3 linked regions of the Diceros bicornis minor genome follow. The protein of the gene in region 1 purifies or fractionates together with the protein of each later gene. This does not show direct contact. Links are inferred from orthologs where the notes say so. Each region holds a gene or a part of one and is shown in the gene's direction. Other genes may lie near its edges.

Region 1 (10,190 bases):
ACCCTATGGTAATCTTAATAGATGCATACAGAGCATTTTTACAAAGTTCAACACCCATTCATGACAAAATCTTTAAGCAAATTAGGCATAGGCAGGAACTTCCTTAACATGATAAAAGCATCTGCTAAAAATTCTACATCTAACATGATACTCAATGGAGAAACAGTGAACACTTTCCCTCTAAGATCAGGAACAAGGCAAGATGTTCATTCTCACCACTTCTTTTCAGTATTGTGCAAGATGACCTAGACTACACAACTAGGCAAGTAAAAAAAAACATAAAGATTAAAAAGGTGAAAGTAAAATATTCTCTATACAAATGACATGATTATTAAGGTAGAAAATCCCAAGGAATCTACAACAACAACAAAAACCAACTACTAAAATTAATAAGTGAAACTCTCAGGACTCACGATCACTATACTAAATCAATTATATACATTAGAAACAAACCATTGGGAAAAAAATAAAATAAAAATAAATAAAACAAAATAAAAACAAAAACAAAATAAAACTCAGAGTCAGTTGGGCACAGGTGTGTGGTAAAAAAAAAGAAAACAAAAAAAACCCTCAGAGTCAAAGAATAAAATACTTAGGAATAAATTTAACGAAAGACATCCAAGGCCTGTGTTGTTAAGCTATGAATTCTCCCCAAATTGTTCTATAGACTCACAATCCCAACAGGTATTTTTTTTTAATTGACAAGTCAATTCTAAAATTTATGTGGAAATGGAAAGGACCTAAAATAGGCAAAAACAATTTTGAAAAAGAAGAAAAGGTGGAAAATGTACGTTACGTGACTTTAAGACTTACTATAAAGCAGTAGTAATCAAGGAAGTGGGATACTGGCAGAAAGACTGATAGACACACAGATCAGTGGGACAGAATAGGGATCACAGAAATAGACCCACACTTACATAGTCAATTTATTTTCAACAAAAGCACCATACTTGATCAATGGTGAAATCAGTAATTTATCGTAAGCCTTTCTTCTTTTCAACGAATAGTACTGGAGCAACTGGATATCTATGTGGGAAAAATATGAACTTTGACTTCAAACTGTACACAAATATTAATTCAGGATGGATCACAGACCAAACACAAAAATGTGGGAGGATATCTTTGTGATCTGAGTGTAGGCAAAGATTTTTTAGGACCCAGAAGAAATCAATTGATAAATTAGACTTCATCAAAATAAAAACTTTCTGCTTATCAAAAATAATGATTAACAAAGTGAATGAGCAAGCCACAGACTGGAAGAAAATATTCATGAAACATATATCTGGCAAAGCACTTGTATCCAGAATTTGTAAAACTCCTACAACTCAATATTAAAAGTGAAGAACCCAATGAAAAATGAACCGAAAAATGAACCAAAAAGTTGAACGCACACTTCACAAAAGTTTTACAAATGGCCAGTAATGCCACGAAAGCACATGCAACACCATTAGTCATCCAGCAAAAGGCAATTTAAAACCATAATGACGGGGCCGGCCCGGTGGCGCAAGTGGTTAAGTGTGCGCGCTCTGTTTGGCGGCCCGGGGTTCGCAGGTTCCGATCCTGGGCGCGCACCGACGCACTGCTCGTCAAGCCATGCTGTGGCGACGTCCCATATAAAGTGGAGGAAGATGGACATGGATGTTAGCTCAGGGCCGATCTTCCTCACAAAAAACAAACAAACCACAATGAGATACCACTACATCCACTGGAATAGCTAAAATCTGAAAGACTGGCAACCTCAAATGTTGACAAGGGTGTGCAGCAACTAGAATCTCATATGTTGCAAATGGTATAACCACATTGGAAAAAGCTGTGGCAATTTCTAATAAAACTAAATATACATCTACCTTTTGATCCAGCAATTCCCTCCTAGGTATTTACTCAAGGGAAATGAAAACATATGTCCACAAAAAAAGATGTATAGGAATATTTACAGCAGCTTTATTCATAATAGCCCAGAACAGGAAACAACTCAAATATTCATCAATTAGTGAGTAGATTAACAAGTTATGGCATATTCATACAATGGGATAATGCTAAGCAATAGAAAGAATGGATTACTTATACATCAAACAACATGGATTAATCTCACAGACATTATGCTCAACGAAAGAAGTCAGACACAGAGTACATACTATATTATTCCATTTATACCATGGTCTAGAAGAGAAGAAACTAATCTAAGAGGAAAGAAATCAGAATAGTGGTTGCCTGGTTGTGGGGGGTGGGATAACCAGGAAGAGACAGGAGGGAACTTGGTGGGGTGTTCTTTATCTTTATCTTGATTGGGGTATGGGTTATAAGAGGGTACTCCTTTGTCAAAACCCATTGAACCGTACACTTAAGATCTGTGCATTTCAGTGAATGCAAATTTTATTTCCTCAAATAAAGAACTTTAATAAAGAAAGAAAGAAAAACATATGACCATATGTGTACAATGCTAGGGCCTCTTGCAGGGCCTTGAAAGAGCCCATCGAAATGAGGGGTCCTGAAGCTCACTTAAACCTTCATTAGTAATGAAAATAATAAGAAAATTTTCACATATTGAGGTATGTGGGCAAGCCATTTTGGTTTACACCTGATTTGGCCTGAACTTGTTTTTTCCAGAGTAGCCTAATTTATGGCCTGTCAAACATGCATTGTACATTGGTTTTACACACTATCCCAAAGCAAGGAATGCACTCTTTGAAGACAGGGATGAATGCCTCCCTTCCTCTGACGTCAACACCAGTACTCCTTTGAAGATAAGCTTTCCTTCCCAGAAACTGTACCAGCTAACTGCCCCGAGTTGCTTAAAGAGTTACTTAAAGAGTTGCTTAAAAAACAAAATTCCCATTAGCAGTTAATAGTTCGCCAAAGTAGTTGGGATGTCCTTAAAACAACTTTCCATACCTAGCACTTTGTTTTGAAGTTATGCTTGCTTATAGGAACTAAGGTGACACATTGAGACAGAACGTTGTCAGATGGCAAACCACAGAACCGAGCCAAACCAGGAAGATCCAAGCTGGCGATGGGGTGCCATGTGCAGAGGGAGACATGTGCAAAAGGTGGGCAGTGGAGATGGGCAGTGGGCAGAAGGAGATGTGTGCAGAAGGTGCTGCGTGTAAGAAGGGAGATCTATGCATGCCCCAAGACAAAGCTTCCTCTGTGCATATTCATCCCCTACCCCAAATAAAAGGCACCCACTCCCCATGCTCAGAGAGCCATAGCTTTGTGAGATTATTCCCCATGGTCTCCATTTTGTTTGCTGCATGCTATAAATAAAATTCAGCTTTGTGTGACACTACTTCTGGTGCAGTTTGATTAACTTGCCAAGGAGCGGACTCACTTTGGTCCGGTAACAAAACCAGGGTCAAGTTGACCCATACATGCAAAACTGCAGCAAAATATCTCCTTAAGACTTTGAAAAAAATGTATTGCTGTCATGCTTGATGTATGTTCTTTGTTCTGAAACGGTATGTAATCATGCTATAAACCATGCTTCTCTGGAGTGCTTTCTTCCCTGGTGGAGACTGCACTTCCGGGCTAGTCCCCATCATGGCTCAAATAAATCTCATCTTATCTTTCTTATCTATAGATTGGTTATTGATTATTTGCATCCACATTAGCCTCATTAGCTACATGGTAAAACCACGTCTGCCCCCAGCTCATACTCTGGTCCTCCACTCACTTAGCAGTTGTGTGACTGTGGACAAGTTAATGTATTATGCCTTGAATCCTGAATCTGTAAAATGGGAATTATTATGGAGCCTATCTCATTGGATTGGTGAATAAATCACATGAGATAACTTAGAACACTAACTGGCACATAGTAAGCCCTCAACAAATATAAGCTATTATCCTTGTCTTGAAGATGTTTCTAAGGAAAACCACTTAGGAAATTCTGCTAAGGGCCATTTGGACCTATTGGAGTTTCCTGAGCAGAGGAGCAACATGCACAGCTTTGCCTTTTAGAGATAATCACTGAGGCGCAGTGGGGAGGACGAAATGGTGGGGGGAAAGAATGGACTGGGACATTAGGGATAGGACTGTCCTCACATGAACACGGATGAGACATTACTGATCTAAAGAATTAAAAAATATATAGAATTGTATTTAAAGTATACAGAATTTGAATGTTTTAATAAAAATGTAAATGAGAGTACATGTAAAAATTAAAATGGTTTTTCATATTTAAAAATATTAAGATAGGGGCCGGCCCAGTGGCATGGCGGTTAAGTTTCTGCGTTCCCCTTTGGTGGCCCAGGGTTCTGCGGTTCGGACCCCGGGCGTGGACCTACTCACTGCTCATCCATGCAGAGGTGGCGTCCCTCATAGAAGAGCTACAACTCTACAGCTATGCTACACAACTATGTACTGGGGCTTTGGGGAAATGAAAAAGAGGAAGATTGGCAACAGATGTGAGCACAGGGTCAATCTTCCTCAAAACAAAAAACAAAAATTCAATAATTTAACTTAAAAATATTAAGATAAATTCAAAATTACCTGCTAAAATAAAAATTATGATTAATAAATATCAGATCTTCAAATAAAAAGTTTTAAAAATACAAATTATTTAATGTTGCAGAAGGTTCTTCTGCACCTGCCCCGCTAATGCTAAACCGTGAGTACTTCTTTAGAATCACGAATTGAAACAGGAAGAGAAGTGACACGGACTTCCACACTACTGCGAAAGGCAACTTCGTCCTGATGAGCCTGTCTACTCTCGCACACTCCTGGGGTGGAATTGTTGGTCTCAGGGAAGGTGTGTATGGTTGGGTAGATACTGTCTAACAGTCCTCCAAAGTGGCTGCACCAGTTGACACTCCTCGCAGCAGTGTGGGAGAGTCCCAGAGCATCACTTGGCATTTTCCATTATTTTCATTTTAGGCACCTTGGTGGGTGTGCACAATGCTATTTCTACAACCAACACATTCTTTATTTTTCTACTCCCTCTCTGGAAAGGGAATCTAGCTTTTCCAGCCAATCCACCCTTGGGGCACGAGGGAAGGAGGAAGCTATCCCTGGATGGTCCTCAGCTGGGGCCTAACCTCAAGAGGCGAGTCAGCTGAGGCAAGGTTACACAGAGGGAATCCCGCACACCTGGATTCTCATCTCCACTTCCCCTTTCCTCCACTTCTCTTTGCCTCTTGTCTTGCCTCGTCTCTGGTTCAAATCCTGCTCGCCCTGCAAGGGCTGCTCAGTATTGACCTTCTCCATAAAGCACCTCACTTCTCCCTTCCCCAGCTTTTTTCTTGACATTGACAAGGCATGGAACCAGGAAGTTGGGCAAATCATTAACCTCTCTTGACCTGTTTCCTCATCTGAGGAACGAACATTTGAGCTCGAGCAAGAGTGAATCTAAGTCCCTAACTGATTTGACGTTTTATGACCCTTTAAGGCTCACGGGCCAGAGAACAGAAACAGAAGTGTGTCTTCCCTTGGGTCAGCCCGAGAGTCAGTGCCGGTGTAGAAGCCTATGCCTTTGAAGGTCCTTGTGCGTCTCGGTCTGCATGCCTCGGGTGGAGCTGCGTCCTTGAATGTCCACCCTAGTGGAGTGGCCTGACGCCTCTTTGTGCAAATCCGTTTGCAGGGGGGTACTTGAGACCACCTAGCCCTCTCCGGCGCCCACGGTGGAGGAAGCCTTCTCCGAACTCCGAGGGATGCCCGGACGTCCCGGGGTTTCGTGTCGAATCTGCTGGCGACGACGCGGCGCCGCGCCGCGGGGTGGGGAATGTGCGGCTGCGCGCGCGCCGCGGCGTTTACGCGGCGATTTCATCATGCTCCCGGCCGGGCCGCGCGCGCCGCTTCCGCCGCCGCCCCCTCCGCACCGCCCCGGGCCGCCGGCTCATGCCCTCTCCGCGCCCGGCGCTGCTTAGAGCCGCCCGCGCCGCTCTGCTGCTGTCGCTGCCGCCCCGGCTCCCGGCCCGGCCTTCGCCCCCGCCCCGCCGGCCCCTCAGCACGCCCGCGCGCGCCCCGACCTCCTTCCCCGCCGCCGCCTCCCGGAGCAGCATGGACGGCGCCGGCGCTGAGGAGGTGCTGGCTCCTCTCAGGCTAGCCGTGCGCCAGCAGGTACCGGCATTTCGCGCCCTCCTCTCAGCTCCCGGCCCTCCTCCTCTGGTCCCCTCCAGGTCACTCCCTCTCCTCCCCGGGCACCTGCACCTCGCCGGTTACCCTTCTCCTTCATCCCCTGGAAGCCCTTGGTTTCCTGGCATCTTCCTCGCCTCCCCCACTTTGGACCCCCGTTCCCGCGTGCGCCGGCCACCTTCCTCCCGTGGACCCCGTGCTCCCCTCTCCTTAGGTGACTCCTCCGATCCCCTTCGACATCCTGCGTCCCTCCCCTCGCGCTCTGCTCTCCTTTCCCATTCCTTGTTACTGCCCGCGCCTCTTCTGTCTCCGATGGAGCTGGGATTTCTGACCCTGTGGGTCTCCTCTTGTCCTCGCTCAGTGACCTCAGCTTCAGTTTTCCACTTTCAGCTCTGTTCTTTGTACACCGTGGGTGGCGAGGTTCCCGGTCAGTTATGAGCCGAAGCTGCCGGTTCGCTCTTCATACAGCCAGACTCTCTTTTTTAGTCTTCAGGATGCTTTGAATAGTGTTTGCTCCTTGAGGTCTTCCTCCATTCAGTGCTTAGTTAGCTGAATGATCGGCTGAGGAAATAAAAATAGTTGAAACGTGGGTGTGGGGAGGTGTTGAATTTTTTTCCCCTAATGATGTGAGTTCATCGTCCTTTGCTCATATCATCTTTTCTGGGTTCCGAAAGGGCCATTTGGAATGAGTGAGCTTTCAGATGGTAAACCTGGGAAACTGTACATGTTGCTGAGTTACTCGGTGAAGTCATCCTTCCTTCGTATGGAACATTTGGCAATTTGCTTTTGCGGAAAGGAGGGAGGTTGCATGGGCTGGAGGGCTTGGTGATTTAATACGGGCCTCCTTTTCTTGGGGCACAGCATGGATATCAGAATTTGGAGAGGACAGGAAAAAGGTGATTTCAAATGGATTCTCACTGGAGCCCAGTCAGCTGGAGCCCAAAGCTTGGAATAGGACCCCGGGGATCCGTGACCTAGTAGTAAACCCCGAACGGGTTTCTCCTGCACGGGCGCCTGATGCAATAACTTGCCTTAGCTAGGGAGGGTGGAACCCTCTCTCGGAAATAATTCATTGGGGCAGAGCTGCCGCAAATTCAGCAAATTCTGCTACTTTGCAATGTCTACTTCTCTCTAGTTTGAGTCTAACTGATTCAATAGTGTTTTATTGTGACATTTCACTATGGGCTTAATTTTTTCTTTTTTATTGTTGGTATCAGAACGCTGTGTATGCGTCTTCCTCCACCCACCCTTCCCAAATAAAATTAGGTGTGGTTCCTTTGTCTTTTCTGTAACTCTCAATTTTTTTTTCGTATTCCTCTCTGTAGAAGGCAGAATACATCTAATTTGGAAAAACACACACCCAAACCCCTCCCTCTGCCACGTTAGCCTGGAACTGCAGTGCAGATTATCTATCTGTAGTGAGACTGTGGAACTAGTTAACAGAAGTAAACTTGAATTGTGGAATAATCTTCTGGTGCGAGTACTATTTTGTATATTGTTTATGTTGGCTTGGTTGTTAACTTTTTTGGTACTTTAAGGTATTTTTCTGAATATGTAAGTTAGTTTGCGTTCTTTTTCTAATTTTCTAGGACCACACATGCATCAGTTAACTCTGGAACTTTGAATCACACTGATTCCAGTCTCAGCTGGAAGGGACTTTAAAGATTATCTAGTTAAACCTCTGTTTTTGCTTGTGAGGAAGTGAGACACACTGTCACATCTATCCGTTTTACATATTTTTGTTGTGGAGTTTGTACAATTGAAGACATCCTTGGCATGGGATTTTTTATTTATTTATTTATTTATTTTTTGTGAGGAAGATCTGCCCTGAGCTAACATCTGTTGCCAATCCTCCTCTTTTTGCTTAGGAAGACTGGCCCTGGGCTAACATCCATGCCCATCTTCCTCCACTGCATATGGGACGCTGCCCCAGCATGGCTTGACAAGCGGCGGGTCGGTTCGCACTGGGGGTTCCGAACCTGGGAACCCCAGGCCTCTGAAGTGGAGCGTGCGCACTTAACTGCTGTGCCCCAGGGCCTGCCCCTGGAGAGATTTTTAAGGTGCTTAACAATTGGTCTTGTTAGTGGCATGTGTTTCGTGTAAACATGTTTCATATAAATTTGCTAATCTACTAGGCTACCTGGACGCTGTTATTTTTTAAAGGTTTGGTTTGTTGATTGACTGAAATGTATTTTGGCACGGCATATTCTTTCCAGTTATTTTCTGGAGAATTAGTTATGGAACTTGTAGGAAGGCGTCAGAGCATCTAGGTGACTGCATTAATTGTTTGATGAAGAGCACCCTAGGACAATTGAGTTTTTAAAAAATTGGGAATTAGTGTAGGGTGGCCAGCCTTTATTTTGCCAAGTAATGACATTAAAAAAAACAGTACAATCATCAAACTACCGTCTGATTTCCCCTTTCTTTTTATAAAAGAAGGGATATTTTAATACCAAAGAAAGGCAGATCATACCCAGAATAAAGAGCAGTCTTTTATATTTAGTAGGTTTGGCTTTGAAAAAAGATCTATACACGCCCCCCCTCCACCTTTTACCATGTTTTGGTGAAAACTCTGTCCTGGAGTGTCTTGTTTGGGAACCATTGCTCTAGGGCAGTCGTTCTCAAAGTGTGGTCTGCAAACCCTTGGAAGTCCCCAAGGTCAAAGCCATTTTCATAATGAAATTAAGACGTTATTTTCGTTTTTCACTATGTTGACATTTGTGCTGACCGTGCCAAAGCAGTGGTGGGTAAAACTGCTGTTAGCACTAATCAAGTGAGGGGCACCAGACCCAAACATTATATTCTCTGTCACACTCTAACAGTTAAAAAAAAAGTCAGTTTTGCTTTGGAGTATCCTTGATGGAGCAGTAAAAATTATTAATTTTATTAACTCCAGACCTTTGTTCATATATCTTTTTAATATTCTGTGTGACGAATGGGAAGTATGCATAAAGCATATGAAATATGATTGTCTCAGGAAAAACACTCATATGATTGAGTTGCAGGCTGAACTGTCTGCTTCTTTTCATGGAACACTGTTTGTAAAATGTGTGACAAAGTATTGTTATGCAGCCTTAGGTATTGGGCATTCATTTTCTGGAAAATGAGTGAAGTGAGCCTGTCATTTAGAGAAAACAACTGATAGTATTTGTGGCCCGTAATAAAATCAAGCTTTTGATGTGATGAGTGGTGATCTTAACAAATGTGGGTTTTTTTGATACTGTATAGTAAATGGGTCACTATTTGGAAGATCTACATAACTCTGTTAACCAGTATTTTCCAAATGACCGATGCATGATACTATGAAATCAGGTATTGTTAAAAGATCCATTCTGAGTCTAAGATACATGAATGGATTTAATGTAACAGAGTACAGAAAGTTCATTGGTGTAGTTTCCAATTCCACATTGCTTCTAACCTTTAAGAAATAACCTTTAAGAGCCAGCCCTGATGGCCTAATGGTTCAAGTTTGTGAGCTCTGCTTTGGCAGCTTGGGTTCGGTTCCCAGCCGTGGAACCACACCACTGTCTGTCAGTAGCCATGCTGTGGTGGAGGCTCACATAGAAGAACCAGAAGAACTTACAACTCTGCACAACTTTGTACTGGGTCTTTGGGTGGGAAGAAAGAAGAAAAAAGGAGGAAGATTGCAACAGATGTTAGCTTAGGATGAATCTTGCCCTGAAAAAAAAACCTTTAAGAAACTACCACTTGTTCTTGAGTTTTGGTATAGTATCAAAGAAGAATATCTATGATTATTTGAAAAGGCTTTTAAAATTCCCTCCCTTTTCTAACTATGTATGATTTTCTTCGCATACTTCACCCAAAATCCCATATTGCAAGAGAGGCAGATACGTAAATCTAGCTGTCTGCTGTTAAGCTAGAAATTAAGACATCTGCAAAATTATAAAACTGTCATTCTTCTCACTACTTTTTGTCTTATTTTGGAAAATAGTTATTTTCACAAAATGTTAATTTTATGCATGTTAGCACATATTGAGCTTTTATTATTATTTTAAATGAATTAATATTTTAAAATTTGCGTTTTAATTTCTAATACAGTAAAAATTGATAGAAATAACCCACAATAACAAAAACTTTTTGGGGTCCTCAGTTAGTTTTAACAG
Region 2 (10,505 bases), on another chromosome or scaffold:
ATAAAGATATGTTCCTTGTCTTGTTGATGAATAAGCAGGAGGGAAATCTGGCTTCACTGCATTGTGTTATATTTTAGGCTTCTCATGCTAGTGATAGGTGCCATGCTTATTTTGTTTATTCTTTTAAACTGTTGCTCATTTGTAAACCTTTTTTTATATCTTTTTGTAGTATTACTATTATTTCTTATCAGGTCACCCCAGCAATGCTAAAAAATATGATAGCTTCTCTCAATTAATATTTGAAAATCTGAAAAGATACTACCTGTTTTTTGTGTCTGTGTGTGAGGAAGATCAGCCCTGAGCTAACATCCATGCCAATCCTCCTCTTTTTTTTCTGAGGAGGACTGGCCCTGGGCTAACACCTATGCCCGTCTTCTTCCACTTTATATGGGACGCTGCCACAGCATGGCCTGACAAGCAGTGCGTTGGCGCGCGCCCGGGATCCGAACCTGGTCCACCAGCAGCGGAGTGCACGCACTTAACCGCTGTGCCACGGGGCCGGCCCCACTACCTATTTTAAATTAATGATCAAGATATTGGAAATTTAGATAAAAGTGTGCATGGTGAAAGTAATCAAATGAGTGTGTTCAGAAATACTTGGTTGGGGGCCGGCCCCGTTGCTTAGCGGTTAAGTCCTTGCGCTCTGCTACTGCCAGCCTGGGTTCGGATCCTGGGCGCGCACCGACGCACCGTTTGTCCGGCCATGCTGAGGCCATGTCCCGTGTACAGCAACTAGAAGGATGTGCAACTATCACATACAACTATCTACTGGGGCTTTGGGGGAAAAAAAAAAGGAGGAGAATTGGCAATAGATGTTAGCTCAGAGCCGGTCTTCCTCAGCAAGAAGAGGAGGATTAGCATGGATGTTAGCTCAGGGCTGATCTTCCTCACAAAAAAAAAAAAAAAGAAATACTTGGTTGTTCACAATCCTGTCATCTTTTATTGTCATATGATATAGAGACCTATAGAGTTGAGACAGTGAAACCTGGGAAGATTGCCTGGCAGGGAGCCCCTCGTTTCCAAGACAGCAGTTCAGAAGAGGAAGATGTTACTGAAGAAACAGATGACAGAAAGCCCAGCCCTGGGTAAGTAATTTGTTTCTGTGTAGGTATATTTCATAATTTGTAAAATCTGAGTTAGACATGCTTTAGAAATATTATGGCAGTTTCCAAGCTATCTTCTCGAGACAACTTAATTTTCTTCCTTCAGCTCCTTTAGAGAGTTCTCTAGCCTTTCTGTAATGGGGAGTGTGTTTCCTTCCCCTTGAGATTTGGATACACTGGGTGGGGCATATGATTGTGCACAGGGAAGAGAGAGCCTGACTCTGAAGCCCCTGGTCTGGAGAGGATGCTGCGGCTGGCTGGCTGTTTCTCATGGGAAACACTGGCAAATGAGGTAGCAATGGTGGGTGAGAGTATCATCAACCAGTGTGGGTGGGGAGGATGGAGCACGTACTTAAGTGAGTCTTCGTTACCTAAGCTTCAGGTAGAAGAAAAGAATGTTGAATAGAGAGAGAGTTGGGGTCACTTTAACTCAGGGCAAAATGAGCAAAACACAAAGTAGATATATTTAAGGAATAGTTCATTTATATTTTCAGTGTAAACATTTCTTCTTAAATATTGAAATTAACCAACCAATCTCGCTCTCTCTCACTTCAGAGAAGTATCACTACCTGAGAAAGAGACCACTAGATTTTTCTTTTTCTCTAAGAATGATGAAAGACTTCATGGTAAGTCCATTTTTGGATTAAATGGTATAGAACAGGTAATAGCACAGCTCTCAGCAGTGTGCATTCTGATACAGTAACAGGCGTCCAAGTAGGAACTGTTTGGGAAAAATTCTGACCCTTTGCAGTGTCATGTGGATTAGTCCCCTCTTTTCAACTGATGCATGTTGACTTGTAAAGGTCTGGAGGACTGAGAGCTCCCACTCACCCCTCCCTCACTCACTCATTAGCATCAACAAGGGCTTGTTTTGTTCCAGGGACTTGCTTAAATGCTAGACATACAAAACTCCTAAGTTTTTAGTACCCTAAAAGTTCATGTGAAAACTCTGACGCTGTTGGTGAACTCTTCATTTCTTAAAGCCTAACACAAACAGAAACCAAGTTACATAATAGTAAATGGAATATAAACAGTAAAATCCTAGCAATTCTACATTTTCATTCTGTAAAAAAACAAAATATTTTTGAAAATTAGCATAAATTGGGAAAAAAATGGTCTTAACTAGAATTGAAGACCTTGATATAATGCCAGCACTAGAATATTGTCTGTTTTGGTAGTTTGCTGCCTCGTCATTTTTGATTTTCCCCTGGTAGGTTCTGACTTATTCTGGAGAGGAGTGGGAAGTAATATTAGCAGGAATTCTTGGGAGGCCAGAACAAACAACTTGCGGATGGTGAGTAATTGTATCTCCATATTGATTGTCCCCTAAATTAGATACAGTGTTATCTTTGTGTTAGTATTTGCCTGGTGTAAGAATATGGGAATAAAGTATAAAACTTAAGACAGAAAGGATCACAACCGAGAACATGATTTAAACACTCAGAATTATAGTGTTGGAAGGGAACTTAGAGATTAATTCAACCCACACGTGGTGCAGGTGAGGAGACTGAAGAGAGACCCCACTGAATGACTGGTCAGAGTTCCAGCCATGCTCATTAAGTAATAGGAAATCATGAGATTTTTGAAAGACTGAATTACAGTTTCCATTGTAAACATTTAAAGCCAAAAGCTGGAATATTCCCTGTTCATTCCAAGCGAGGATTTCCAAAATGGTTTCCACAACCCTGAGACAGAATAAGCTAAATTTTACTGAACACCTTGAAAATGATTTACAATTATTTTTAACAAAAGCTTTTGATATTATGTTTTTCTAGGATTGTCGGAAGAAACATAAAGATGCCAAAAGGAGAATGAAACCAAAATAATAAATGTCAGCATTGATTTTGATACTGAATGTGAACAAGGCTCACCTATGGAAATTGGGTGATCCAGAAAATAATTTTAGCTGAGAAAGAAAAATCAGAGTGAAAGACTATTCAAAATCTGGCTGGTGGATATCATTCTGGTTGCTGTATTTTCTATGGATTTCCTCTGTCTTTCTTCTTAAGTAATTACTTCAAAAAATTAACTTTTTTTGAAAAAAACTGAACTTTTTTTTAAATGAAGCACAAGATAGTCCCTCAAAATACTTTTTGTATATAATCTCTTTCCCCTCCATCCTCAATAGCTAATTGGCATCTTCTGATGCAAGGTTTACATAAAGCCTTTTTAAATATATGAGTCAGAGCACTTGTATTTTCCAGGTTAGGCTTTGTGTGAATTATAGGCTACTCTGATTGTACTGAAAATACCTTACCTCCATTTTGTCATCTTTATTTACCAGGTTGAATGAATTTGGCCCTAAGTTCTGTACTTGTGTTCTGGTGAAGAGCCAACTGAAATGCAGGACATTTCAGAGCAGCATCATAGGAGAATTCTGTAAGGACCAGAAAAGGATGCCAAATGCAGAGTTTTCCTTCCTTGGCCTCCAGATGGAGGCAGGCCTATCAATCCCAAAATTCTAGTTAGACCAGAGGCTTATGAAAAAACCCAAGTGTCTGAAAGATATGTAGTCACAGTCAGGAGTCAAGACCCTGAGTCCAGATAGGGAAGCAGATTCAATACCTTGTTAAATCAAACTGGTTAAGATTCAAGACAGATGTAGCCTCCTGTCAAACTGGGCTCTGTACAAAATTGTGTTATATAGACACAAGGGATTATCATTGAGCCACAATGTGTATATCTGAAATTAAGTATTGATTTACATCTTGATCAAATATAAACTCGGTGAGGGCTGGGATGTCATCTGGTTTGTTAACCATTATGTCCCCACTGCCTAGAACTGTGTCTAGTACATAGTAGGTGCTCAGTACATATATTTTTGAATAAACAGGGTCCAAGGAACTAAGTAGCTGAAGAGTCATTGGGGATTTCTGTGTTTTCAAGACTTTAGACTTCAGGGAGAATGGAAACAACCACTCAGCAGGATAAATAATCCAAATGTTTCACCTTCTCTTGATGTAGATTACATTTAAACCTTCTTATCTATTGCTGCATAACAAACCACCTCAGTAACAATCACTTATTTTACTCACAAATAAGCAGTTTAGTCAGGACTCAGTAGTGAGTGACTGCTCATCTCTACTCCATGTAGTGTCATTGAAGTAGCTTAGGTGGGGCTAGAGGATCCACTTCTTTTTTTTTTTTAATTTTTTTTTTATTGAGGTCACATTGGTTTATAACATTATGTAAATTTCAGGTGTACATCATTATATTTTGACTTCTGTATAGACTGCATCGTGTTCACCACCAAAAGTCTAGTTGCCATCCATTACTGTACACATGTGCCCCTTTACCCCTTTGGCCCTCTCCCTGCCCCATTCCCTTCTGGTAACCACCAGTCTGTTCTCTGTATCTGTGTGTTCTGTTTGTTTATCTTCCACTTATGAGTGAAATCACATGGTAATTGTCTTTCTCCCTCTGACTTATTTCCTAATACCATCAAGGTCCATCTGTCTTGTTGCAAATGGCAGGCTTTCATCTTTTTTATGGCTAAGTAGTAGTATTCTGTTGTGTCTGTGTGTGTGTGTACACCACATCTTTAGCCATTCATCTGTTGATGGGCACTTAAGTTGCCTCTAAGTCTTGGGGATCCACTTGTAAGACGGCCTCCTCACTTAGTGCCTGTCCATGGGTTTCCTCACAGCATAGCAAGTAGGTTTCAGGAGCAGGCAGCAGATGCTGCCAGTCACTCAAGGCTGTGCCCAGGCAGACTCACAGGGAGGGAACATAGACACATCTCAGTAGGAGGAGTGTTGAAGAATTTGTGGCCATATTTAAATGTCACACCTTCCTTCTCCAAACCAAATAAGTGACATCAGGTAACCTTGCCGATCCCCATTCCTGCTCTGCAGATACAACCACCTTCAGTAATTGTATCTGTTTTCTCTGATATATTTCTACCTAACATGCTTATGCTGTGATTTCTTGGTTTTTCAGTTTTAGACATTACTTAGTGACTTCTTACTCTGACAATGAGGATCCAACTCTTTAATCCAAGTAGTATATTTTGACCACATTTAACTGTTTTTCCTAGAATCTTTTCACTTGTCAACTTTTTTCTAGATTTAGTCTTCTCATACCTTCCAACAGCACCATAAAATGTTTCTCAGTCTAAGTTTTAAATAATCAGACCTGTCATCCCCACCCACCTTTTTTCCCTGGACACATCTGTCTGGGAGCCCTCTGTCCTGCTCTAATCTAGGCTGTCTGGACAGATGATAAAAGTGTGGCAAACAAGGTAGCAACTTGAGGACTGCAAAACTTAAAACACACTCCAAGTACTTCTAGTTAATAAGCTGAAGATACACAACTACTAAATATATATGTTCAAGTGAGTTAAGTTATTGAACAGAGAGTTACCCCTTTGAACAAGGACAGTACCCCTTCCTCTAATCCCTGACACTTGGTAGGATGTTCCTAGACCAGGAGTACTGAATGAACGCTACACAGACTATCAAAATGTTCTTACTTCAACTTACTAAAGAAGTGCTTTCTACATATTCTCGGCCAGATCAAATTTTTCTGTCCTAATGGATACAATAAGCAGTTACATACAGAATTACTCCTAATTTGTCAAGGCCTAAAATTTCCCTCATAGTCTCTGGCGCCAAAGCCTGAGGTCTACTGTCCTTTGTGTGGCTCCAGATCCCCTTTGGTTTTTAACCAGCAGGTCTGGAAGGTGCCAGGCAGACACACAGCAGTGCTAAGTAAGCAGATAAGCAAATTAATTTTGTTTACAGGAAACATGCTAAAACAATTTTAAAGTGGTTACCAGGCAGTTCCTTCCTTTTTGTGTTGTTTTCTCTCTTCATATGGCCCTTTACCGTAACTGCTGCAGTAAAATCCAGAACTCAAGGTAGCACTGAAAGACTCAGCAGGGGAGGCTTCCCTGGACCACCACTGACCACGAGGGCTTTGGCTCCTCCCAGACGTTGTTCTGTGGCCTCTGCATTTACGGGCGGGTCAGGAATTTTAGCGTGCTGCAGAATTACCCAGGACCTGCAGAGACAGTCTCGGCAGGCCAGCCCCAGGGTGATTTGGTGTAGGTCTGCACCACGCTGGAAAACAGCCCTGTAGTGGGGGGCTCTTTCCTGGAACCGTCAACTAAGAAAGCAGCCTGGGGACGGCGTGCTCTCGGCCCCGCAGTATAACTACTGAGGCCACCGTCGCTGGCTTCGTTTCACGCGTGGTGTGACGCACAGTGTACAGCGGGGAACACGGACAAACGCAAACACCCGTGTAGCCACGCCCAGCCAGGATGCAGACCTCAGCCTCCCGGCGCTGTCCCCGCAACTCAGTCCCCCCTCCGGAGGCCACCAGGCGGGCGCCTTCCCGGCACGCGGCGCGGGGCGGGGCCCGGTGGGCGTGGCCGGGACCCGCGCGACCAACCGGCATTCGGCTTGTTGACGGGTGTCGGGCGGCGCGCGCTGATTTGCCGGGGCGGACCAGTGCCCTCCTCCTCGCTCCGCGCTGTCAGGGCGTTGCATCACCTCGGTCCGTCAGGCTGCGGCGCGCACGCGGCTCCTTCCCAGGCGCGCCGGCTCAGGGGTCCCTCAGGTACGCTCCGCCCTGAGCGCAGGGTCCGCAGGTCACCCCATCCTGCCCCCAGGACCCTCAGGTCACCTTCTCCTGTCCCCGAGACGCTCAGGTCACCTCGTCCTGCCCCTGGGACCCTCAGGTCACCTTCTCCTGTCCCCGGGACCCTCAGGTCACCCCGTCCTGCCCCCGGGTTCCTCAGGTCACCCCGTCCTGCCCTCAGGGCCCTCCGGTACGCCCCGTCCGGAAGTTCCTCAGCTTGGACTGGGATGGTGGTAGCACTTAAACCGTGGTGGTCGTGAGAACTGGGTGTGACGGAGCTTGCCGGAGAAGTTCAGAAGGTGGGCGAAGTTTCTTGGAAGCGGAAAAATTCGGAAGAAGAAATCGAGTCCTAGGCCCGCACGGAGGAGCGCGGCGACAGGGCCGCGGCCTCCGGTGCTCGGCTCACGCAGTGTGTGGATGCGGCTTGCCGAGTGCACGCCCGCTGCCGGCGCGGGGGAGGAGGAGTTCTTCAGGGGGCTTCGGAGGTGGAGAAGGAGGCTTCTCGGGAGCTGTGCTGGTTTGGGGCCTAGAAGATGAGTAAGAATGGGGGAGAGAGCGAGTGAGTCCGGGGCCCGGAGAATTTGAATGTGTTGATTCCGGAGATGGGGGGGTCGCGGTTGTCGCTGCAGCTTAGGGTGTGTGTGAGGAGCAAGTGGAGAGGGCAAGTAGTCTCCAGCCTTAGGAATTTATGGATTCCTTCTTAATGAAGTGGTGTTTGAAATGAGCCCAGAAGAGAAGATGGGTCTTTTATAAGATGGCTCAATATTATTTTTAGCATTCTGGTTTTGCAGAGAGCTCAGAAAGGATGAAACCAGAGGTATAGTAATTAATTTAAGAAATTTCTAGTAACATGATGAACTTTTAAAAAGTAAATATCAGTAAAATGGCGGACAATATATCCTCTTTGTGATTAAAGAGTGAATTATAGGGCCGGCCCGTAGTTTAGCGGTTGAGTGCGTGCACTCTGCTACTGGCGACCCGGGGTTCGGATCCCAGCGTGCACCGACGCACCGCTTCTCCGGCCATGCTGAGGCCGCGTCCCAGATACAGCAACTAGAAGGATGTGCAACTATGACAGACAACTATCTACTGGGGCTTTGGGGTAAAATAAATAAAATTATTAAAAAAACGGTGAATTATAGGGAAGAGAAGGCAGCTAAGTATTTTTGGAAAGATGGTGTAGTGGTTGGGCAAGAGCAACAGAATGGAATTCGTGGGCAAAGAAGTAATAATAATGGCTTACATAGATGATACGCAACTGCTGTGAGCTGTGATAGCCGTTATTTCGCTTACCGTTGAATTAGCATTGTGAATGTTTGTGACCTTTATTTTCCAGACGACAGAATTGAGATTTAAATGTTGAATAACTTTTCCTATAGCTCACATACTAAGTGGTGGCACCAAAACTGTCAAATTCCAAAGCCAGTCCTCTTCACCACTATCCTGTGCCAGGGGCAGCCCATGGAGTGGGATAGATTGGAAAGGCAGCTGAGAGTAGGAGTATCACTGATGGAAACTAAGGATGCTGACAAAGGTATTTGTTCCAACAAACGTTTTTGAGCACTTATCATGTGTGAGCACACACTGGAGGTTAGATGGTAAAATGCTTTTGCCAGCAATAAGTTTACAGTTGAATTGGAGAGTGTGTGGGACATGCAGCACAAATAAGCCACAGTGTGTAGGAGAGGATCAGGTTCTGGGGAGGGGGATATTAGTTCTAAAAAGAGGGCATTGGCGAAAGCCTTGTAGAGGAGGTACATTTAAGCTAAGTGGTGCTCGAGTTTGTGGAGAAAGGGCCTGCCTGATACAGGAAAGCAGTTATGTTTCTCAGCAGCGTCCAGGAGGGTGATATAGCTGGAGCTTGAGTTTTATAAGAGTAAAGGTCTGGAGTAAGAGTAGTAATTTGGGGTAAGATCATGGTGGCCTTGAGTGCTGCACTGAAAAGTCTGTACAGAATACCGTTGGGAGTGAGGAGCCATTGGATTTTTTTTTCTAATACAGAAATGATAGTTTCAGAGCTTTTCCGTTAGGAAGGTTAATCTACAGTGGTATGTGGGATATATGATATTTATTTTTCTCTTTATTTTAAAAGATTTTGTGATAGGGGCCGGTCTGGTCACATAGTGGTTAAGTGCGCGTGCTCCGCTTCAGTGGCCAGGGGTTCACAGGTTCAGATGCCCAGTGCAGACCTGCGCACCGCTTATCAAGCCATGCTGTGGCAGGCGTCCCACATATAAAGTAGAGGAGGATGGGGACAGATGTTAGCCGAGGGCCGATCTTCCTCAGCGAAAAGAGGAGCATTGGCAATGGTTGTTAGCTCAGGGCTGATCTTCCTCACCAAAAAAAAAAAGATTTTGTGATAAAGTTAATACACACTTAAAAAAAATCAAAACAGAGTAGTATGAAGTAACAAAAATCTGTTCTTTTGTGCCTTCCTCTCCTAATCCTACTCACTGCTGGTAGCAATAGTTAAGTTTGTTGGGTAGCCTTCTAAATTCAAATGCAGAATTACTTAAACATAGATTTAATATACTATATACTTTTTAAATCTCTTGAAAATGATGTTATAATATACATAGTATAAGTTGCTATAACTGTGACTTGCTCTTTTCTTTCTCAGTATGTATAAGTAATATGTATATTGCATCTATTATGATTTATTTCTAATGCCTGCATGGTATTGATGTACCATAATTTATTTTAGTTACCTATTCGTGGACATTTAAGTTGTTTTCAGATATTTGTCTACAGAAAAAATGCTTCAGGGGCTGGCCCCGTGGCTTAGTGGTTAAGTGTGCACACTCTGCTGCTGGCGGCCCGGGTTCAGATCGCGGGCGTGCATCGATGCACCGCTTGTCAGGCCATGTGATGTGCCATATAAAGTGGAGAAAGATGGGCACAGATGTTAGCCCAGGGCCAGTCTTCCTCAGAAAAAGAGGAGGACTGGCATGGATGTTAGCTCAGGGCTGATCTTCCTCACAAAAAAAAAGAAAAAAAAATGCTTCAGTTAATATGTTTGTACACATATTTTATACATTTGTGTAAGTATATCTGTGGAGTATATGTTAAAAGAATATAACTAAAGTGAGAAAAGGCTGGAGTTGGACCCACCTCTGGGGTTAGATTTGACTTAATGTAACAGGTTATGAAGACCTGAGAATGAAGAAGAAGGAACGGAGAAATAGATTTAGAGGTCAGATCCACATGACTTGGTGATCAATTGGATGTGGGGTCATCTGTTAGTATTTAAGGGTGACTCAGAAATTTCAGCTAATGGGAAGGAATGTGGAACTACTAGTACAGTGGGATTAATGGGAGCAAGTATGGCAAGGAAGATCATGAGATTTATTTTAAATGAAAATGTTTTTGAATGCTTTTCTAAGATCTGTTGAGGTAAACACAAGGTCAAAGAGGGTATCTAGAAATTGGTGAACAGGAAGTTGAGGCAAAGAGGCCTTAAGGAGTCCTGGAATAGGGAAGAGTGGATTATAGTAAGAGGGAAGAGGAGAACGCTTCCCTGAGGTGAAGTTAATCTCCTTCCTCTCCCGCCTCACACACACACACACACACACACACACGCACACACACACACACACACACACACACGGGCCCTGTGGTTACTGGACGCTGTTGTGTATGTACAGCTCTCCAGTGGATATGAGGGGCCAGAGCAATCCTGTGATTTATGCATGGGGGCTGTTTCTCCTCAGCAGCCACCATAGCCCGGTCACTGATACATGGCTCTTCCTGGAATAGTCAGTGCCATTACAGTGGGTCTTTTTGTTTGGCATAATAATGCAATGATTCTTAATCTTTGGGAGA
Region 3 (10,447 bases), on another chromosome or scaffold:
ACCCAAAATGTATAAGATCTTTTTACATGAAGTATTCAAAACACTTTATAAATAAGGGATGTTTCATTCGGTATTTGAAACTAAGATTATTGGCCAAGAGTAAACCAAGCACTTGGAGGATTTTTTACTAACCAAAATTAGGATGAAGCCCTACACAGAATGATAAAGAGCAAAATACATAAAAATAGGAAACTTTCGTTGAGCATTCACTATGTAACAAACACTATTCTAAGCACCTTATATTTATGAAGTCATTTAATCCTATGAGAACGGTAACTATTATTGTCCCCATGAGGCACAGGGAGGAGAAGTACATATTCTGTTGCCATACAACTTAAGTGGAAAAGCCAGGGACATGAGCCCTGGCATTCTGGTTGCAGACCCTATGCACATTGCTACTATACTATTTTGCATTAAGGGAATTGGACCCACATACCGCTCCTGAGTATTCCTACCTGAGGAAGGAGAGAAGCATTCTTTGTCTTCATAGGTGCTACTTTCTAGTGGGCAAAAATCTTTTCCATCTTTTGTTTGCTCCAGACTATCATGGGCCAAAGCAGTGCATGTGTGTCCATTTTTTATGCAGCAATATAAAGCTAGCTGGTCTCTAGTCCAGTGGAAATTTACCTCCCTTTGAGAAACCTCAGCCTTATACCCCATTTCCCCACAACAGAGTTATCTATGATGACTCCACAGGGTGCTTGCAGGCTATGTAGACATGACTTCTGTATTCCCTGAAAGAAACTTTAGAAAGTAGTATTTTTTCTGTTACCTTACATTTCTAGTGATCTTTCAGCTCTAGGCAGCTCCATGAACAGTCCATCTCTATTCTAGCTCCAGTCATACCCTATGGGACAGAAGTAGTGGATAGGACCAGTTAATCTCATGGTTTCCAGTTTGTTGACAATTTGTTGGCAGTAGAATGAGTTTCTTTCAATCCGAGCTAGAAAACTCTGCCCCAGGTTCTGCTACTGGGAAAATTTGGAGCCACTTAGGGGAGGCGTATTGGAGAGTGTTAATTCCAGTTGGAGTCAGCATCGTCTGTTCTCAAGCCTGAGGTTTCTTGGTGGGGCAATCAAGGTCATGTTTACCTGATGTAGTGGACATCTTTTGGTGTCCCTTCTTCATTCTTTTAGCAACACCTTCCTCTTTCTTTGAAGAACTGCTATCTTTTGCTTACTGTATGTGGTGGAACTGTCCAATCACAGTGTCCTGCCCTCTTTGCCACAGGAGGGGGGCATATGACTCACACTGGACCCATCAGAATCAGTGCCTAGAATAGAAAACGTGAGGGTGGAGGAAAAGCCTCTGTCCTCTTGGACTGTGAGCTGTAAACATGTCATTGTAGAGCTGTTTGAAGGTCATTTCCTTGTCCATGAGGTCAGAGAATCAGAGTTATGACAACATTGTTTGTGTCCCTGGATATAGACATGCCTGAAGCTGTTTGGATCCCTGTCTTTTCCAATTACATTAGCTAATAACTCCCCTTCTTCAGCTAGTTTGAGTGGATTTCTATTACTTGTAATTGAAAGCTCTATCCTCTAGAAATTTAAAACAAATACATATATTCAACATTGAGGAAATCAATAAAATCAACATTAGGTGGATGTATTAGCGTTCTTCAGAGAAACAAAACTAATAGTATATATATCTATGTGTACACATATATACGTGTGTACATACATACGTATATATGTGTATACATATGTGTATATATGCGTGCATATATATGTGTATGTATACATATGTGTATATGCGTGTGTATATATGTATACATACGTGTGTGTGTGTGTGTGTATAATAGGATAGAGAGAGAGAGAGAGAGAGAGAGAGATTGAGATTGAGATCTATTTTGAGCAATTGGCTCATGCAGTCATGGAGGCTGGTGAGTCCAAAATCTGTTGGGTGGGCTGTCAGGTTGCAGACACAGGGAAGAGCTGGTGTTGTGGTCCAAGTCCAGTTCTACTGGCAAATTCATTCTTGCTCTGGGGAGGTCAGTCTTTTGTTCTTTTTAGGCCTTCAGCTGATTGAATGAGGCCCACCTGCATTATGGAAGGCAATGTGCTTTACTCAAAGCCCACCGTTGTAAATGTTAATCTCATCCAAAAGCACTGTCACAGAAACTTCTAGAATAATGTTTGACCAAATATCTGTGGCTCAGCCAAGTTGACACATAGAATTAACCATTACAGTGGGTAAAGTTTGCTTTCATCACCAACTTATTTCTGTTTCCTTTTTCCATATCTTGACCCCCTCTCCCTCCCAATACTCAATTCCACATGCCCTTATATTTTCCCTTTCTTGCCCAGTGTCATCAACCAAAGTAATCTGTCCAGGTCTGCCTTGCTTTTGATTTCAGAATTATCTTTAGCCCCATTAAACTTGCATTTCCTTGGTGACCTTTTCACACTTGGTATCCAAATGAAAAGTAATCCTATAAATAGTTTCATTCTAAAGTGTTAATAGGTGATAATGACTTAATGTAGGTCTCCTGGGGAGGGGGATGTGTTCTGCATTAAATACATGCATACAGGTAAAGTTTAGGCAAGGTGATAGGTAAGGTGTAGAGGTAATTTTGGACGAGGGTCCCCTTATAATCCCATTTTGTGAGTGACTATCTAGTACTCTATAGTCAAGACCTGATTATTTAACAACTGGTTCCCTTTTTAATGTTTCCTTTCAAAAAGAGGCAAATGCAAAGATGCAAAAGTTTGAGATGGCATTCTTTTTTAGGGAACTGGCAGTAGTTAGTATAGCTAGCCCATAAGATACTTGAATAGAGTGGTGGGTGATGATGCTGATAAAACTGGCAGGAATGAGTTCCTGAATAACCGTGTGTGTGCATAGGAGTCTGGACTTAATCCTGCAGGTAAAGGGTACTCACTGAATTGGAAGCAGGGAGAAACAGGATCAGATTTATGTTTTTGAAAGGTCACTCTGGTGTGAAGGTGTATAGGATGAATTGGGGTAGTGGTGGAAGCAAAGGGATTCATTTAAGGAGTCTTTCTGAGGCCTTGACTGGTGCCTTTTGTTCTTGTGCTCATTTCTTTCTTCTCAGAGGCCTTACTGGCTCCACCTGCTTCTTTTTCCTTTGATACTTGCCACCATCTTCTCTGTCCACTGTGGTACATTTCTCCACAAACTCCCTAAAAAGTGGGACCAACTCCTCCCACTCCCACCTTCTTGTTTTGCACAGGTCTTTTTTATTGAGATATAACTGACATATATTAGTTTCAGATGTATAACATAATGACTTGATAGACATATATATTGCAAAATGATCACCACAATAAGTCTAGTTAACATCTATCACTACGCAGTTACAAATTTTTTTTCTTGTGATGAAAACTTTTAAGATCTACTCTCTTAGTAACTTTCAAATATACAATACAGTATTATTAACTGTAGCCACCATCCTGTACATTACATCCCTAGGACTTATTTATAAGTGGAAGTTTGTACCCAGACCTTTTTTATTTTAATAATTTTATTGCTGTTTATTTTTGGAATTCAGATAAGCGATAACAAAAAATCACAAATGTGGGGACACTGAAAAATCTGATAAAGCTATTTCAATTATGATTCTACGTTTCTTTAGAAATGGCAACTGGAAGCCCTGATGGCCTTCCATCAGGCTGCAAGGCCAAGAGGGGGCTGAGAGCCATCAGATTTGACAGGACTGATTTTGTGAACAGGGAAATGGACTTACAAAAGAGGTGATGAAGAATGACATCCTCTTACCATCACTACTTTTTTTTTTTTTTTCAGTTAGTTCAGAACTTTTATCAGGAGAGAAAATCCTTTCCATTTCCTCAGATGTGTAAGTAGACCCAGATGTCCCCTGTCCTTCACAGATCATTTATTTTCTCCTCCAGCCCTTATTCCCAAAGGTCCAGCTAAGGCAAAGCTCCTTATAGATAGGGGTCAAAGTTCTTCTGTATCAGTGTCTTGACTGGCACATGGTTACAAAGGGCTCTTTGTTGCAGTGGGTTAGTGAGGTTGCTCATGGTTGGGTTGGGAAAATATTGGCCTTCAAACTTTCTTCCTCTCAACTTGTGCGTAAGCCCCTTCCAAAATAGCTGTAGAATGGAGATGGATAAGACAAATTGATAGTCATGGTGGAGTAACAAGCAGCAGAAGAAAGCAAGGGGTTCAACAGATTATTACTTTGAGCATGAGGACTTGGGTGGTACTGCTGGCATTCTCTTTGTGGCATCGACAGGTTTGCTGACACTGCACAAAGGTGGTGTTCAAACATTGGAATCATACCTTGACTCCTTGGCAATATCACTGAGGTCTTACCAGAACCTCTTAGATGAGGCTAAGATGTACATCCCCAGAGCCTTTTGCCTCTTGAATTAAGAAATGTGTTGTCTGTTAACAGCTCACTGTTCTTTAACTTTGCTCTGGGTGATTTAGGGACCTGTTGAAAGGCCTGAAATATTAAAGGGCTTTCGGGTGAGAAATACTTTGACTAGTTAAATGTGACACTTTCCTGCCTCTCTTTGAGGCCAGTGATAAAAAGGCATTTTTTTCACTCTAAGAAAAACTGAAAAGCCCTTTGCTTACTTGATCATATAACCAGCCATAGAAAGTCAATTCTCCTAAGAACATATGGCTTTTTTTACTCATTCGAAACATCTTTGATCCCTTACTTTGTGCTAGGGTTTATACTAGGTGTTTGGTATGCAAAGACTTGTTCTAGCCTCAAGAAACTTATAGCCTAGTAGGAAAATACACAAAACATCATAAAATATCGAAGCATATTGTTTAAAAGGGGCAGATCAAAGAATGAGAGGTTAATGCATATCCTTAAGTCTGTCTGGGGAGACAAAATAGGTTTTCCCCAAGAGGTGGCAATTCAGGAGAGATGGGGTGGGGATTCCACAAAGAGTAACCAATGTGTGCAAAAGATTTGAGAATGTTGGCCCAGCTGGGAAACTGTTTAGCATTGTTGGAGTGTAAAGGGCTAGAAGGTGAGGTAGGAAGAGAGCAGTAGTGTGAGGTAAGACCAGACATCTGGGGTCAGAAGTCCATGCCGTTTTCTGTATGCCATGCAAGTTTTGCTTTGATTCTAGTTTAGAGCCATTAATAGAGTTATGATAAACATCTACATTTGACTAAAGATACCATTTAAATCTTCCTAAAGCAAATGCTCAGGTAATAAATTCTCAGAAACATCATCTCTCTCTGATTAAGTCTCTCTTGGCAGGCATGGTGCATTAATTCATAGAATTAATCGTTTATGAGTCAAACGTCAGGCTATCAAATCTAGGCACTTCCTACGGTCATCTCGGGTGGGCCATCAGAAATCCGGGCCAGCCAAGTTTCTCAAAGGCAGGCGCATAATGTTGGATACTTGAGCCTTACAACCCACCCCTCCCCCTCTGCAAAAAACTGAGGGTTAGGGAGGCAACGGATGGGGGTGGGAATGGGGTGCAGAGGGCTTTTAGAAGCCAAGCATATTAAACAGAGCTTAAGTCGGGAACTGAATTGCCTGTCACCAGAAAGACTGGCCGAACCTGAATGGCGCTTTGCAGTGAGAATTTTGGGACCTCTTTCCCCTCACCTCACTCAATTCTTTGTGCAATTTTTCTTCAGCCTTATGCCCCTTTTCCACCCTGAGTTGTTTGTTTGTCCCCCAGGATCCCCTTTTTAGGTCTCCTGTTTTCCTCCTCCCCTTTCCCCGCTTCGTGGGGTACCGACGCCTGGGGCCCTGGACTGCACTAGGCGCGCCCCCCAACGCTATTTGCTTTGCTAACAATTCCCTCCTCCTCTTTCCTTATTCTTCCGTCATTCCCTGCCAGCCACCGAGTTTCTTCCTCCGCCGCGGCGCGGTCTCTCCCGCTGCGCGCCGGGGTGCCAGGGCGGCTCCAGGAACCTCAGGCGGATGCGGCCACGAGCCGGTGCCACGTCTCCGCTGCCAGCAGGCCAGCGCCTGCGTGGGCTTGGGGCGGGGCGGCGCGGGGAGGCGGGATCTGCGCGTGAGCGGCGCGGCCACGGCCCAATGAGACCTGCGGGCGGTGGCGGCGGCGGCGCGGTGCGCGCCGAGGGGCGGGGCCCGGCGGCAGTTGCTGTCGAGCCCGGGAGGCCGAGAAGGCTGTGGTTGCTTCAGCCGTCGCATCCCCGAGGGAGTCGTGTCGGCTATTCGCTGTCCCGTAGGTCCGCCGATCGGCCCGCGGGCTCGTGTGTACGCTCCCGACCTCGCCAGCCGCTCGCCGCTCGTCCTGTTGACCGCGCTGCCTGCATCATGTGCGGTAAGGGGGCCGCGGGCGGGGGGCGTGTTGCGAGGCGGTGCTGGGATGTGCTGAGGACGCCGCCTAGGCCGGAGGCGGGGGGCTGGAGCGGGAGTGTGGAGGGTGCGAAGTCTGGGTGATGGGTGGGGGGCGTCCCGCAGTGGTTGAGGGTGCTGGGGCCAGGGGCCGGCCTCTGCGAGTCGGAGGGGGTGTAGTGGACCTAGGCGGGCACCTGAGAGGAGAGCGGGCCCTAGAGGGGATCTGGGTAGCCCAAGGCTGCGGCTTTGCGTGGAGAGAGAACCAAGAGGGAAGAGAAATGTCTGTATTGGAAAAGAATAGAGGGAAGTGAGGTGTGGAGGGGAGTGTCTTCAAGAGTCCACCAGGTGAGGGAGGCAACCTGTGGAACATCAGGTGAGGTCTCTTTGAACTTATCTTGCATTCTTCTAGGATTTACCTTTTTAAAATATTTATTTTTAGTTGCTTTCTTTCGGGCAGGCCCAATAGAAAACAGAACTATAGCTATAGCTACGACAATGGCATTACACATGATCTTACTTCCTGCCACCCCCGTCTCAACAGAAACCATTGCTAATCAATAACTTGGCGAATGGGTTTAGACCTGACCCCTGGTGGGAGAAGTCCGGAAGTGACCGTGGCGGTAGATCATACATCATTTCTCACTTGCATATACACTCATTTAAAACACTTAACCTAAGAACAATATTTGTCTAACGTTTAACAAATGTTTTACCTAGAACAGTTAAGACGTAAAGTTTGGGAGCTTTTATTCCATGTTTTGAGATTAACTCGTTTTAATATTACCTAAAAGTGTCAGTTAAAAGGGATTGTCGTCAGAATTATATCTGAAATGACTGATATGCTCTAAAATTGGTATTAACTTGGTCATTGTCAGTAAAAAGAATTGTATTCTTACCGTTCTTATTGAAATTTACAACTGACCTTACCCATGGAAGAAAGAACACTTTTTTCAGGGAAGTATGATTGTGATAGAATTAGAGCTGTCTGGAAAACTTATTCTTTTAGCCTTTTGTAAGAAGAACTGAGCAGGAGTGGCTTATCTCATTAGTGTATATTTTTCCTGTATTTAACTTTATGCTAATTTCAGCTTCTGAAAATGAGGAGCAGGTTTAAATTTAGAGTAGATTAAAAAAAAACACAAAAACAGAAACACCTATAAATAGCTTGCTGAAATTATTAGAGCAGAGCTGACTTTAGAATCAGTAATACTTTTGCTATGTCTAGTTAGTAGAGCAGTTGTGCAAAACACATAATTTAGTTTGCAGCTGTGAAGTAGTGAATTTGCAAACTGGTTAATCCCCAGCGTGCTTTATTTGGTAATTAACTGTTCCTGAGTGGTGAGGTATGCGACTACCGATGATAAGGGTGAGGCTTTTAGGGTGGAGACTAAACATTGGGAGTTTTCACATAGCCAACATCCCCATTCCACAGTTTGTACTGCTGAGGAAACAGGTTACAACCAATAAATAAAGAATTGGTATTTGAGGCATTTGTAAGGTCCTGTTTTTAACCCAGACCAGAGTTTTGCATGGTTCCAGGAGTAGGGTCCAGAATATATTTCCTTTCGTATGTAAACTCTGAAAGTTAACTGTTGAGAAGACAAGTTTGTCTTTATTTTCCTCCCACATCTTAATCATTGAAAGTTTCGAGGCAGAGAAGTTGAGTGAGAATGGGATTAGATGGGAAAAGTTAGAAGTTTACCTTCTGATTACCTGCTGCCTATTGAAGTTTTTCTAAAAGATTATTTTGTTGCAACATTGCAAAATGTTGAAGCAGAAGAATGAGGGCTAATAATTCTGTGATATGCTTTTTTCCAATCGGATATAGTGATGAAACTGTTATAATGTTTGCCAGGTTGTATTGGGATGTTAATAAATGTTAATTAGGAAAAAAAAAGATTCTATGGTCAAGTAAATTTGAGGAGCAACAGGTTAAACAGTGTTGAACTGGCTTTTTTTATTGGAGGACTTCTTGGAACCTTTAATGTGCTAATAAACGTTGTGAATCTTCCAGAGAAGAATAGTATGTCTATTTTTCAAATTTATTTTATCTTCTTCTTATTCTTGGTTCTTTGGAATAAAGTTTGTCCTTTATCTGTTTCACGTTTGGCTTTGGTGAGCTGGTGTCAAGTCACTTAAGCTAGGGCCGGCCCCGTGGCTTGGCGGTTAAGTGCGTGAGCTCCGCTGCTGGTGGCCCGGGTTCGGATCCCGGGCGCGCACTGAGGCACCACTTCTCTGGCCATGCTGAGGCCGAGTCCCATGTACAGCAACTAGAAGGATGTGCAGCTATGACATACAACTATCTACTGGGGCTTTGGGGGGAAAAAAATAAAATCTTTAAAAAAAAAAAGTCACTTAAGCTACCCACACCTTTTAGCATATTTTGCTTTTTTTTTTAAATAAATGTGGGCTTATACCCTTCTGATCGATGGTGTATATAAATGGATTTTTTGCAAATGAAGTCATAGTTAAAAGCAGTGAGACAGCTTGCAGTTTAAAAGTATCCTGAAATGAATCCTTAAAAAGTTTTGTAATTATATTGTCTAATGACTTTGGGGGTAATTGAGGGATGCTGAGACTGGCTGCTTGGATGAATCATAAAACCAGTACGATTAACATATTCTTAGAAATCATACTGGATATAAAGTAGTTGTGAAAGAAGATAATTAATTGCTCGATAAGCATTTTCTCAATTGTGTTCCCTGGAACGGGAGAAGTTCATAAGTGCTGGTAATGAGCAGTAGAAGATGGGAAAGAGTTTTATAACACACAAGTTTGGGAAATTCTGCTTTTGGAGATTCACAATTAGCAAGATTAAAGGTTCTAGGAAGTTCTGCAGATAAACCTCTTCTGTTAACTTTGTTTAACCCAGTATTTCTTAGATCTTTAATTATGGAACCTTTCTTTCACCTCATCCCTATTTAGCATCCTGCAAAATAGTGTCCTCTTACTGTGATTTGGGAATTTTTGACTGTACATTTCAGGTACCTAGAAAATGAAATGATGGCTTTATACTTTGCACTGTGCCCTTTGGACAGATGACTAAAACAAAGGAATTGCCTTCAGTGAATTGCTTCCTGATTGGCAGAAACCGAATACACATGCAACAGGTGTGGGTGATAATACACAATCCTTGTTTGTTGCCATGTTAGAGACCAAGTGGAGTGCATAGAAATCCAGAGACCGATTAGGTTAGGAATGTTCTGATAATAAGGCAGGACTTTTATGTTGAGGAATAGTGCTAGCTTGTAGAGAACTAGTACACTGTGAGAGATATCATTGATGGCATATATTACCCAACAATACACAGAGTTAGAAATAAATTGAGAACTACTGCCAGCGGGTTTGAAAGAAGAAGTAGAAGTGCCAGGAAAAGCGGCCATAAAAACAGTGGTTAGAGACAGAAGAGTTCCAAAGTAGTATACTGCCTTGGGCAGAGTCTGCAAATGTAGAAAAAGGTCATTCATGTTTAGTACTGCAGAGAGAAGTTAATTGCATTTGGCTATGAAGAAATTGTTAGACAACTTGCATGTATGAAGGCAGAAGGACCTGAGTTTGTGTTGAGGAGGAGGGCAAGTATACCAACAAAGTAGAGAGTATCATGGAACTGAGGTGCCTGATAGAGGTGAAAAGTTGAGTTCTAGAGCTGCGGTTCCTGATCTGTAAGCTGTGAAGTTGTTACAGGATGTCCATTGGTTGATTCATACCTTAAGCATCATCTGTAAATTGAATAAAAGTTGTTCTGGATCATTGGATAATAAAAATTCAACCCCCTTTGTGTAGGATCCTTAAAATACTTTGATATTAACAAAGTATTTACAAAGTTGAGGAATCACTTATCAAGAGTTACAAATAGGAGAGGCTGGTTCAGGGAGTAGTAGGTGGAATGTTTCTCTGTTTTGAGCTAATAAGGAAGGATAAGAGGGTATATAGGTTATTTTACTGTTAAGATAAAGACTTCAATTCTGTAAAGTGAGAATCTATGAAAAATGAGAAAGAAGCTGGGAAGAGAGAAATGGAGATTTGAGAGTAGTCTAGATTCTAGACTTCAGAGTAATATCTGGGGAAGTTTGAAAGTTAGACGAGCAATGATTAATAGGATTGGTCAGCAGGTGGGAGGACCCATATGAAAGTGGACCTGAAATGGATGAATGACCTGAAATGGATGGACTT

What was found.
Region 2: the proteins of GARS1 (region 1) and IARS1 fractionate together in Homo sapiens (co-fractionation; 3 studies listed by BioGRID). This does not show direct contact. The link is inferred for Diceros bicornis minor from reciprocal best matches to the Homo sapiens genes GARS1 and IARS1.
Region 3: the proteins of GARS1 (region 1) and GFPT1 fractionate together in Homo sapiens (co-fractionation; 3 studies listed by BioGRID, with this or other methods). This does not show direct contact. The link is inferred for Diceros bicornis minor from reciprocal best matches to the Homo sapiens genes GARS1 and GFPT1.

What each region holds. Positions count from the first base shown.
Region 1 is NC_080742.1:54,888,924-54,899,113, forward strand, and holds the start of GARS1 (glycine--tRNA ligase), read left to right. Parts: upstream 1-5,814; 5' UTR 5,815-5,829; coding exon 5,830-6,051; intron 6,052-10,190. UniProt on the Homo sapiens protein: Catalyzes the ATP-dependent ligation of glycine to the 3'-end of its cognate tRNA, via the formation of an aminoacyl-adenylate intermediate (Gly-AMP).
Region 2 is NC_080761.1:59,349,146-59,359,650, forward strand, and holds the start of IARS1 (isoleucine--tRNA ligase, cytoplasmic), read left to right. Parts: upstream 1-6,572; 5' UTR 6,573-6,662; intron 6,663-7,813; exon of another isoform or gene 7,814-8,217; intron 8,218-10,291; exon of another isoform or gene 10,292-10,424; intron 10,425-10,505. Other genes in the region: NOL8 (nucleolar protein 8), read left to right, coding at 959-1,085, 1,659-1,729, 2,318-2,397, 2,879-2,929. UniProt on the Homo sapiens protein: Catalyzes the specific attachment of an amino acid to its cognate tRNA in a 2 step reaction: the amino acid (AA) is first activated by ATP to form AA-AMP and then transferred to the acceptor end of the tRNA.
Region 3 is NC_080751.1:19,012,225-19,022,671, forward strand, and holds the start of GFPT1 (glutamine--fructose-6-phosphate aminotransferase [isomerizing] 1), read left to right. Parts: upstream 1-6,086; 5' UTR 6,087-6,250; coding exon 6,251-6,257; intron 6,258-10,447.